2 linked regions of the Schizosaccharomyces pombe genome follow. The gene in region 2 interacts genetically with the main gene of each other region. Each region holds a gene or a part of one and is shown on either strand. Other genes may lie near its edges. The genes, in order: snt1 and hif2.

Region 1 (5,208 bases), on a different chromosome or scaffold from region 2:
GTAAAAGCTTGTCTTCGACTTTTTGTTACACCTTCACTTTTTAAAGACACTTACTGTTTAATTGCCGAACAAAACTAGAAAAATTATTGTGCTTGAAATACCGTGGAAGAACCAGCTTAGCAAAATCTTCATGCCCTATAACCAAAAACGAATCACCCCGGTCGCTCCATCGAATTAAGGAATCTGTCGACGAGTCGTTCACCATATTGTACAGTTTATTACTAAACTGTGTGATTTTCCTATTTTGTGAAGAACCTGAGCCCGACATCCCTACGGACATCGAATTTTGTGTCCCATTCATCTCCGGTGAATTTGCGCTGCTGGACTCCATTCCCTGATTCGTTCCGCCATTGCTTGAAATTGTCGATGCAGTCTGAATCATTAAAAATCAATTTATTATGGGTGCCGTTAATTTAACAAAAATATATATGTCCGTTACTGATTTAAAGGAATTCTCAGTACCTTCTTCTCAACCACCAGGGAAGAATATGCAGTTCGTATTTCACAAGGTTCAATCAAGATATTCTTAAATAATGTATACTTTCTCAGTAGCTTTAACAAGCTCTCACCGAAATTTGAAGCGGGTGTCGTTGGTTGATGTCAAGTTATATTTTGCAATAATCCACTACCGAATGATTACAATACACCATATATCATTCACCGGGGTATATCGCTAATTTGTTTAGTGAGGTCATTTAGCCACTCGGTATTTATTTTTGGTGTCGGTTTTGCATGCAACAAAAAATGCAAAAAATTATTAAATCGAATAAATTGTTATGTGTCAATTACAGATTAACTTACTAACGCTACTAATTAAGCGTTTCCGTCGCCGAGACTAATAACTAGATTTCACATGAAGATTTATTGATTGAAAAAATTCGTCTCTTGATAGATTTCGTAAACGATCGGCAGTCAAGTTATTATAGAGTTTTTACTTTTTTAATAAAAACTCACCATCATAACCCGACACATATAGAACTCTCACATTAAAAGTAATAGAAAATATATACAAAAGAAAAAAAAAAAAGGATTAAAGTAGAATTCGAGATAAGTCGAGTAAGGCATCACGTAAGGAGGTACCAATTTGCGAATTAGAAAACAAAACCCCTTCATATAACAACAAATGGTAAATAACGCCATTAAATAACACTAAACGTCACAACTCATACAATTTTATCGTTTTTGGACTGGCGTTCAACAATGTCTTCGCCCAATGCTGCTAATGTATGAATTGATGCTCGTGGAAATGATTGACTATTCGGAAATGCGTTTATGTCTGATGTCGTATGAGATGAATGTGTTGTATGCTCTTGATCCTCGACTGATAACTCGTCTATGCGTTGACTTTTTGCATCTTCAGACACCATTTTCAGTATCTTTGATATTGACGGTGTAATGCAATCACTAGCTCGACGGCGATTTGGAGAATCAATTTCGGTCAATTGGAAAGTAGGGCGTGGCCGAGGACCAGTGGAGGCTCTTCTTGGAGTAAGAGGCATTTTCATTGGATTCATACCTTGGGCCAACGAAAATATTAACGCTTCTTCTTTTTCATCCCAACCAGGCAAGTGCCCTTGGTGAGCAGACTCATCAACGGCGGATATGGAACGACCAACGGCAGACAGGTTCGCTAGAGCCGAAGCTGCATCCTCCTCCTTCCTAGTTGAAATACTGTTACGCTTGGAAGAAGAATGTTGTTCAAGCTTTGGTTCATAGTAATCCTCCTGCTTTATGGTATCCTGGCTAATATCCATAGGCTCGTCCTGTGTCGGCGTTTTCTCATGAACGGATTCTTTGATTTGCAGTAATGTGTTATTCCCTTCATTTTCAGCTGTATCATAAACGTCAACATCATGTTTGAAACCAGACACAGTCTCGCTCTTATCGGTCATATCAATAGACATAGGGTCAGGCTCTTGAGCTCCTTTTTCAATTTCATAAGCACTATTCCCTTCAACCAAAGACTTTATTTTTTCATCCATTTGTTCATCAGCATTGTGATTATTAACATTCTCATTCGCAGATTCAACATTTTCAACAGAGGGCGTATTATCCCAAGTATTCATATTATCAGCAGTGACGGAAGCTTCTTGAAATTGATTATTGATATTCTCTTCCGTTTTATTAATATCCGCAGCTTCAATATCAACCATAAGAGCAGAACCCTTGGACTTTTTCTTTCCACCTCTTTGAGAAGGAAGGAGCTTTTTTCGCCGACGACCCTTAGTTTTTGTTGCAGATGCTACCAAAGCTCGATAGTCAGTTGTCCTTTTTGTCAGATAATAATGTAATACACATTCTTTAGAGTTTTTTCCTGGCACTGCCTCTGCGATTTTACCAAATTTTTTTCCATGTAAAATAAATTGCTGAACGAAAATGGAATGCTGTTCTTCATTCCATATGTCAGGCATACTTTGAAAGTGATAGAATTTAGGACAATCTGTTACTAACCGGCTCTGATCATTAAAGTATTGACTTTTCACTTCTTCTTCTGAAAGTATCATAGGAGGAATAGTAGCAATTCGAGAGGCCTCAGATACATTGCTTGCTTCTTTTTCTTGCTGCTCGAGCTTTGCTAAAATCTCCAAAAACTCTTCTTCGGAACGAACTATATCACCAGCTGTAAAGTTGCTCATCACTTTACGTGTACTTCGTTTGATAAACGGTTCCGATTTTTTAGCATTCTTAGTTTTGTCTATTTCAGTCAATCTGTCAACCCGAGCAATATTTTCCTCCCACCGACCTAACACTTGTTTCCAATGGCTCTGTAAACGCTTTATTTTCTTATTAAGTACATGGCGTCTTTTTCTCATTACGCCGACAATCGTCTGCTTATCACGTTGAAACTTTTCTCTATTGAGATTGTAAAAGCTATAATCCTCAACATTTTTGAAAAGCTGATTTTGGGTCAAGGCATAGATATTTTGAAGGTATTTTTCTTGAAGAGCTTTTGTATCTTGGCTTTCTTGCAAGATGTCAGTGAGCTTTTCAGAATTGGTAGGAGATTGTGTAATAGAAGTATTTGTATCGGAATCCTCGTTGTTCATGTCACCAACGGGCGGTTCAGAAGGAAGAAGTCCCAAAGTGTATCGAGACATGTTTCGTAAAACATCTGGATGTTCTGCCACCTCCGGGGTAGTCAAATCCATCGTTCAAAAATGAACTTGATTAAAAGAAACTGTAAAAAGAATCTTTAATAATCAAACTTCAGGTCCCGCTTAGTATGCCGATATGTGTGGTGGAAAGGTAAACCATTTAGGGTATGCCATCTTTAAATGTCAGAGGAGGCACTACAGCTTATTTCGAAGTGAATATCATAATTTGCATGTTTAATATATCATTTTAAAAATTATTTATTTAACAATGGTTTAGTATAATTTTTCTCTAAACGTTGAATGTACAGGTTTATGCCCAATTATGACTAGTAGCCGACCAGAAAAGCAAGTTCGAGGCAGCATTTCAATTGATAGATACTTCTTAATACACAAGACCAACTAGTTACAAAAAACTCTGGTTAAACTAAGATGTTTTAACTACACTTTCCAAGGAATCCCCTTCATTTCCAAAATACAAACAATAAAATTAACCGCTAAACCTAATAACTCAAAAAAATATTGAAATGGTCCTTATTTTTGAGATACTATTTCCCAATTCTCCAGCCATTTAGAGAACCAAGGAGTAAAGGAATCTTCTTGAGCCGAAGAGATACAAATTTTGCAAAGGTTTCTAGCAGAACGATGAAAATTATCAAGTTCATTTTCAAAATTTTCATCGTCCTCTTGTATTTGTGCCACAATGTCATCTATTGAATCAGAAGTCTGCTTGGCAGCATTAAAAAGTTCACCCAAAAAAGTGTTAGGGTATTCATTTTTTATTCTTCTCTTCTTTATAGAAAGAAATAAAATTTTGCAAGCATTAAGCTTTTGTAGTAACGAATTGGCGAGTTGAATCTGTTCTTCTGACCGAAAAACCTCTTCCGAATGTGCTTCTTTTGAGTCATCTTCACTTTCACTACCAAAATCATCCCAATTTGAATCGTCTCCCTCCTTATAATCTTCTAAGTCACTACGAGCATCTTCAAGCATTGAGACAAAATTATCCCATTCTTCAAGCATATAACCAACTATTCCTTCCGACCCCAATTTTTCTATTTTTTCACAAGACTCCCACAAAATTCCAGTATCTATTAATCTACCTCTTGTCTTCCAATCTTCTGATATATACCCTAACGGTTTAGGAGATACGCTTCGTAACAGTGCTTCAATTCCAAATAAGACGCGTTCGGCATACATTTTGAGTCGATTTTGAATAATTTCTCCATACTTTTCTGCATTGAATACTTGAACAGCTGCAATTAAAGGAGTAATCGTTGTAGCCATATCATTAGCATATTTTTCAAGTGCATCTCTAGTGATGGGCGGTTTTGCAGCTACAGAAAGTTTTGTAGTATATTGATGAATTAAAGTGGCAACATCTTTAAGCATAGAAAGAGGGCTTTCAACTAATTCGGAAGGTAATTCAATGGGCTTCATATCATCCAGACATTTTCGAGCAGTGACTACAATCTTTAAAACATTATTCAAGGATTTCACTATTTCATCTACAAATTAGCTAAAATTGATGATAAAATCAATCGTACCTTCCTCTGCTTGATTCTTTACCATAGTGTCAGACATTAAGAAAGTATATTGGCAAAAAGCAACTTGCTCACTCTACCTAAGCTTTAAGTGGATACTCTGTAAGATTATATATTTTAGTCAATGAAAATCTAACTCCTTTCTTGTATACACATACTAAATTCTGTGTAAGATTATATTTTTTTTTTTCAACTCAGGAGCAAGAGTTTTAAGAAATCAAACAAGTAGTTTTTCAAAATACTAATTTATTAACTATTAATGGCTAAACAAAGGTTTTTTTTAAAAATTCTCTAAGTAATAAAACGTACGAGCTTAACAGTAAAAAAAATAAGAAAAAGTTAAAACGATCTATGGCAAATGATAGGTTCTGTAATAAACAATCCTTCAGGAAGCAATTTTTTACAATGATAAATGAGTAACTAACTTTAACAACGCACTGATAAACCATGCACTTGTGTTTCTCTACAACGCTAACTTCGCAGTTCTTCCTTCCCACCACTACCCACCACATTTACCTTCCACAGTGTTGCAGTCGAAATTGCAAAAATGACTGCTACTAAGGAAGAATCTC
Region 2 (4,902 bases):
TTGCTTTATTTAATCATTAAAAGATGCCGTAAAGGATTTTGTGCCTTGCGGAATTGTCAAGAATTGTAGTATTACTCGTAAACGGTCGTGATTGTTATTTAACAGTAGTAACTGCCAAAAAAGACTTAGTTTTTTATTTTTAATAAAAGCCTTCAATATTATTTAATAAATAGACGCAAAATCATAAGCAAACTGATTTTAAATTCATTTGCGCATGCAGTCAATAATTATAAAAGCAAAGCAATACACGGGTCTTAGATAGCTAGTCAAAACAATAGCAATGCGTAAAAAAGTATTGATTTTGATTAAAACGGAAAGTTCATATAGGAAGCTGAGTATGACTTTCTAAATGGAAAAGTTCTTGAACCACAGGATGAACAAACAACACATATAGCTCAGAGATGCAAGTGCCTGAGACAGCTAAGCAGAAATAAGTCCATGGAAAACTTTGAAAAACATAAAATAAGTGAATTGAAAGGAACAAATAAATAAGGTATTTTGACAATGGACAGAGAAATTTGTTTGAAGATTCTTCCTTTTTACACGAATACAATTGGTACCAAGCAGTTAAGATCCCTGCTTGAATTGCGGTCGTACTTTGGATAATTGCGACCAACAAGTAATGTGAATCTGTAATTTTGTATGCAATAAAGCAAGGTATCAAGACAGCAATGTTTGGAATCACTGTTAAAAACTGACAGAAAAGCAAGTACTCCTTATGACCCCATGAACGTTCAATTTCAACGCCATACACCGAGAGAATGAGAATACTTGAAAGTAGCGTAAAAACATTAGCATCAACAAAACTTGTGGTAATTATTGTCCATGGAAACAAGAACAAAGCATTTGGAACCAAATGAAAACATAAAAGAAAGAAAGTTACAATAGAACTCCTACCAAACACTTTGATGTAGATGCTGATTCCAAATGATATTGCAGAAAACAATACCTCTAGGATAAGAAGCCTTTTCGTAACCGAAAACTTGGAGAAATGATTCATTGATAAATTTTAGGTAAAAAAAAATAGTAAAGTTCTCGTTACCGTAAAAATCATCGACGTCAACAATTTTGGTCTCAAAGTAAACAATACCAGGATACCTCTAAGTAAATGGTGCAATCCGAAATAAAATTTCTAGCTGTTTGCATCTAAAAAATAGAAACTCTTACGAAAACTGAATTGGCCAAAGATCGCTTCACTGGAATATAAGCATAATAAGAAATTGCCTATATGGATTAATACAGTTAGTAAATTAGAAAATGAGAAGTTGAGATAAGACACTGCACCTGGTTTTTTAATGCCTTCTCAATAATCTCATTTACAGGGACATTCGGTAGCGGGTAAGATGATAGGTAGGTCATGGCTCGACCAGATTATAAACATCCAGAAAATTACATAACTTTGTAGCTTGCCGATTCTAATAGAAGATAGAAAAGAAGTTTAAACTCGCTGATATATTTGTTTGAGCACAACCTGGTTTATCAAGTAACTATGATCGGTTCGGTTGAGGAGATAAACGCATTCAAAGTTAGAGTAAATAGTAAAGGGAGAAATTAATTTTTATTATATTTGGCAGTTTTTTGAGGGAAACCCTGATGAGAAATTGCTGCATATCGCTCTGCTGGGTTAAAACAAAGTGTTGATTCTCTTAATCGAATAATGTCTTAAATTATTAGTCATAATTCAAATCATCTTTTCCTTTCTTAGAATATAGTGAATGCATTGTTTAGAGCGGTCTTATATCAGAAAGAAGCATTCGCTTGACCTTGAAACATTTGTAATAGAAAATCACATTTCCTTAGCATGATAAGCGGACCCTGAATGTTCAAATTATTCAAATAAAATAGCAGTATATTTTAGAAATAAAAAAACCAAATAAGGCTCCTACCACTCTTGTATGGAATGTTGAGTACAGAAATAGCATACGAATTCATGAAAGTCAGAAAATACAATCTGGCTGCCAACTCCTTAACACAAACTTCTAAAAGTGAATTTTGATTGAAATTAAAAGTCGAAGAGAACTATTAGCATTGCCGTTTTAAGTTGTTAAGAGACCGACTTCAAAGAGGGAAAACTTTACTGAAATTCCTCGGATACAAAAAGTGGGCACTCGATTATTTTTATTTTGATCAAGCGCTGTTTAAATAGTAACCTACGTGCAAATAATAGAGCAGGAAGATTTAATCCACAGTTTCAGCCATCGCACGTATCTAGTTAAATTTCGGTAACTAATACTTCCACAACTACTAAAAACCGTCTCAATGGGAATTCGTCGACAATCCTTCAAGTTAAATCCGTATTGACAGGAAAAGAAAGAAAATAGAAGACTGTTGAGGTTTTAAGTGAAACTCGTTGACAGACCTTAAGATTTGACTTTAATTTACGTGGGTAGCTTGAACCATTATAGATTTAGAAATTGTGGAGGAAATGGATACGAATCAAGTTAATTATATAATCTGGAGATATTTGAAAGAATGCGGTATGTTAAATAGTTGGTTTTTGTGAATCATAGTCGCTTCATCTCTCCTTTTTTTCGGTTTCGTTAACATTATCGTGTTTTTTGTTGTAGGTTATTCGCATACTAAATTTGCATTTGAAAGGGAAACAGGCATCCAAAATTTAGACAAACAATGGGGAAGTACTTGCCAGGTTGGCGCTTTAGTCGAAATTCTGCAGAAGGGTTTACAGTACGTGGAGCTCGAAAAGCACTACGTTGATAATCACTCCTCAAACGAAGAAGCTAGCAAAACATCTATAGATGGAGAAAGTCTTGTAAATGAAAATCCTTGTAAACTCCCTTTCTATCTCACCGTACCTCATATATGCGAAACGACACTGACGAAAGCTGACTCTACCAATGGGTTTTGCGAACACAATAATTCTAATGATCACCAACTTAAAATTTTACAAGATAAGGGGTCTGGGTCGCCTTCATCTCCGGTCATGCCATTTAAGGATAAAATTGAGAAAAGGGATATTGACATTACTATGGCCGATGAATCAAACGTAGAGAAGGATCCGGCTCGACCTATAGCCGTGTACAACAGTTCACCTGTCACGGAAATAACAGAAATAAAACAGGTTACTTTTACTGGCGGCGAAGACATAAAGTCGGATTTTTTCAAAGTAATTCCTACCAAACACCCCGTTACCTGTGCAGATTGGCGTCCACTATTACAAGAAAATTACCATGTTTACGAATTTTCTATTGGTATGACAAACGCTACTCTGGCTTCAGTTAGCATTTGTGAAGAGCAAAATGATTTCAAGGCAAAAACAGATTATTGTCTGCAATCTTCTTTCGATAACCAAGATATCACTGGCGTTGCTTGGAATGTAAGGTTCAAATTTTTTTTTGAAATACTAACTTTTAGAATTCTGGTTCTTTTTTAGCCTACGCATTCTTCAGCGGTGTGATTGAAATTTACGATAGTCATGGTTCTCAAATCCTTAGCTTTCATAACAACAAAGGCCCTGTTTTATCTTTGAAATGGAGCGGTACTGATACATATCTAGCTGCTGGTTCGGCGGATGGAACTATTACACTCTTTGATCAACTGAAGCAAACACAATATTCAATTGACACACTTGCATCTTCCGTTTTAGACATTGAATGGATTAGCTTTGATGAATTTGTAACTTCGGATGTGGAAGGCTCCTTGCGAGTATACAAGGTCGATGGCAAAGCTCCGGTTTCTACAGTTTCTCATGCGCATGATAATTCTATTGTTGCTTTACGATACAATCTACGTATCTCTCTTCTATTAACTGCTTCTAGTGATACCACTGTTAAGGTAAATTTCTTTTGTCATTCTAATAATTACTGTTTTCTAACGTTTTGTATAGCTTTGGTCTAGAGGTGATGCTGGTGCTTTTGAATGTTTACATGTTTTTTCTTTTAGCTCACCGGTTAATTGTATTGACTGGAATTTGCGGGAAGGGACACCAATTCTAGCGGTTGCTTCAAACAGTATCGTTTCTATGTATAATGCTATTTCCCTTCAGCAACTTGCTGTATTCATGAGGCATACAGCTCCTGTTAGTGCTTTGAGCTTCAGTCATAACGGTCGCTATCTTGCTACTGGTGATACTTCTGGGGGAGTATGTATATGGTCATGCAAAACAGCCAAACTATTTAAGGAACTGGGTTCCGATAACTCAGAGTTAATTGCTGTTACTAATGTACTTCCAGAGGAGCAAGTTAATTTCTTACGGTGGAGTTTTGATGATAAAGATTTACTTATCGGTAAACAAAAGAAGGAGATTATTTGTTGTTGTGATTTTTTACATGATTCTCTGTAATTGAACCTAGTTGATCTTGTATATATCCATTTATTACAGTAGGTTCGTTGGGTCATCATCTATAGTCAAATATATACATATATATAATCATATACGAATTTTTATTTGAAGTTACTAAACTGGTAGCTAATATTTGTCAAAACATAATATGAACAGGAAACAATATGGACCGCGAAATTGTCAAGGTCCAATATCTATTTATCACAAATACCTTAATTATAGCGACGCTTTCGATTGCCATCTTGAAAGTTAGTAACAGGTATAATAGATAGCGTGAACGCAAATTAGTGGCTTCGTCTAACATAAATCAAAAGGAACATTACTATAGGTAAAGATAAACCGTACGTAGATCATTAAAATTCAGCAACGACTACTTTGGATCTCATAAAATTGAACTTCCAGAAAGAGACGTGACTTGGGAAAATACTGTCGGTTGTTGCGAAGTGTCTATTTGGAGTGAATCATTTTCATGGCGTACAATATCAATCATCTTCTTTATTATTGATTTTTCCAGGTCGGTGCGGTTTTGAAGGACTGCTTCAACCAAGGACAAAGGTGCATCCCAGTATGCTTCTTTCAGCAAATGAAAGTATTCGGAGACA

Evidence for each region.
Region 1: of hif2 (region 2) and snt1, changing one enhances a phenotype caused by changing the other (phenotypic enhancement), as found in Schizosaccharomyces pombe (one study listed by BioGRID).

The regions. Positions count from the first base shown.
Region 1 is NC_003424.3:5,054,649-5,059,856, reverse strand, and holds snt1 (Set3 complex SANT/Myb domain subunit Snt1), read right to left. Parts: upstream 3,237-5,208; 5' UTR 3,150-3,236; coding exon 1,164-3,149; 3' UTR 804-1,163; downstream 1-803. Other genes in the region: DNA-binding transcription factor Hsf1, read right to left, coding at 55-382; SPOM_SPAC22E12.18 (uncharacterized protein), read right to left, coding at 3,627-4,600, 4,640-4,676; glo3 (ARF GTPase-activating protein), read left to right, coding at 5,184-5,208.
Region 2 is NC_003421.2:192,127-197,028, forward strand, and holds hif2 (Set3 complex subunit Hif2), read left to right. Parts: upstream 1-2,237; 5' UTR 2,238-2,425; coding exon 2,426-2,477; intron 2,478-2,567; coding exon 2,568-3,334; intron 3,335-3,372; coding exon 3,373-3,792; intron 3,793-3,844; coding exon 3,845-4,300; 3' UTR 4,301-4,402; downstream 4,403-4,902. Other genes in the region: protein pdh1, read right to left, coding at 320-1,000; sec6 (exocyst complex subunit Exo3), read right to left, coding at 4,683-4,902.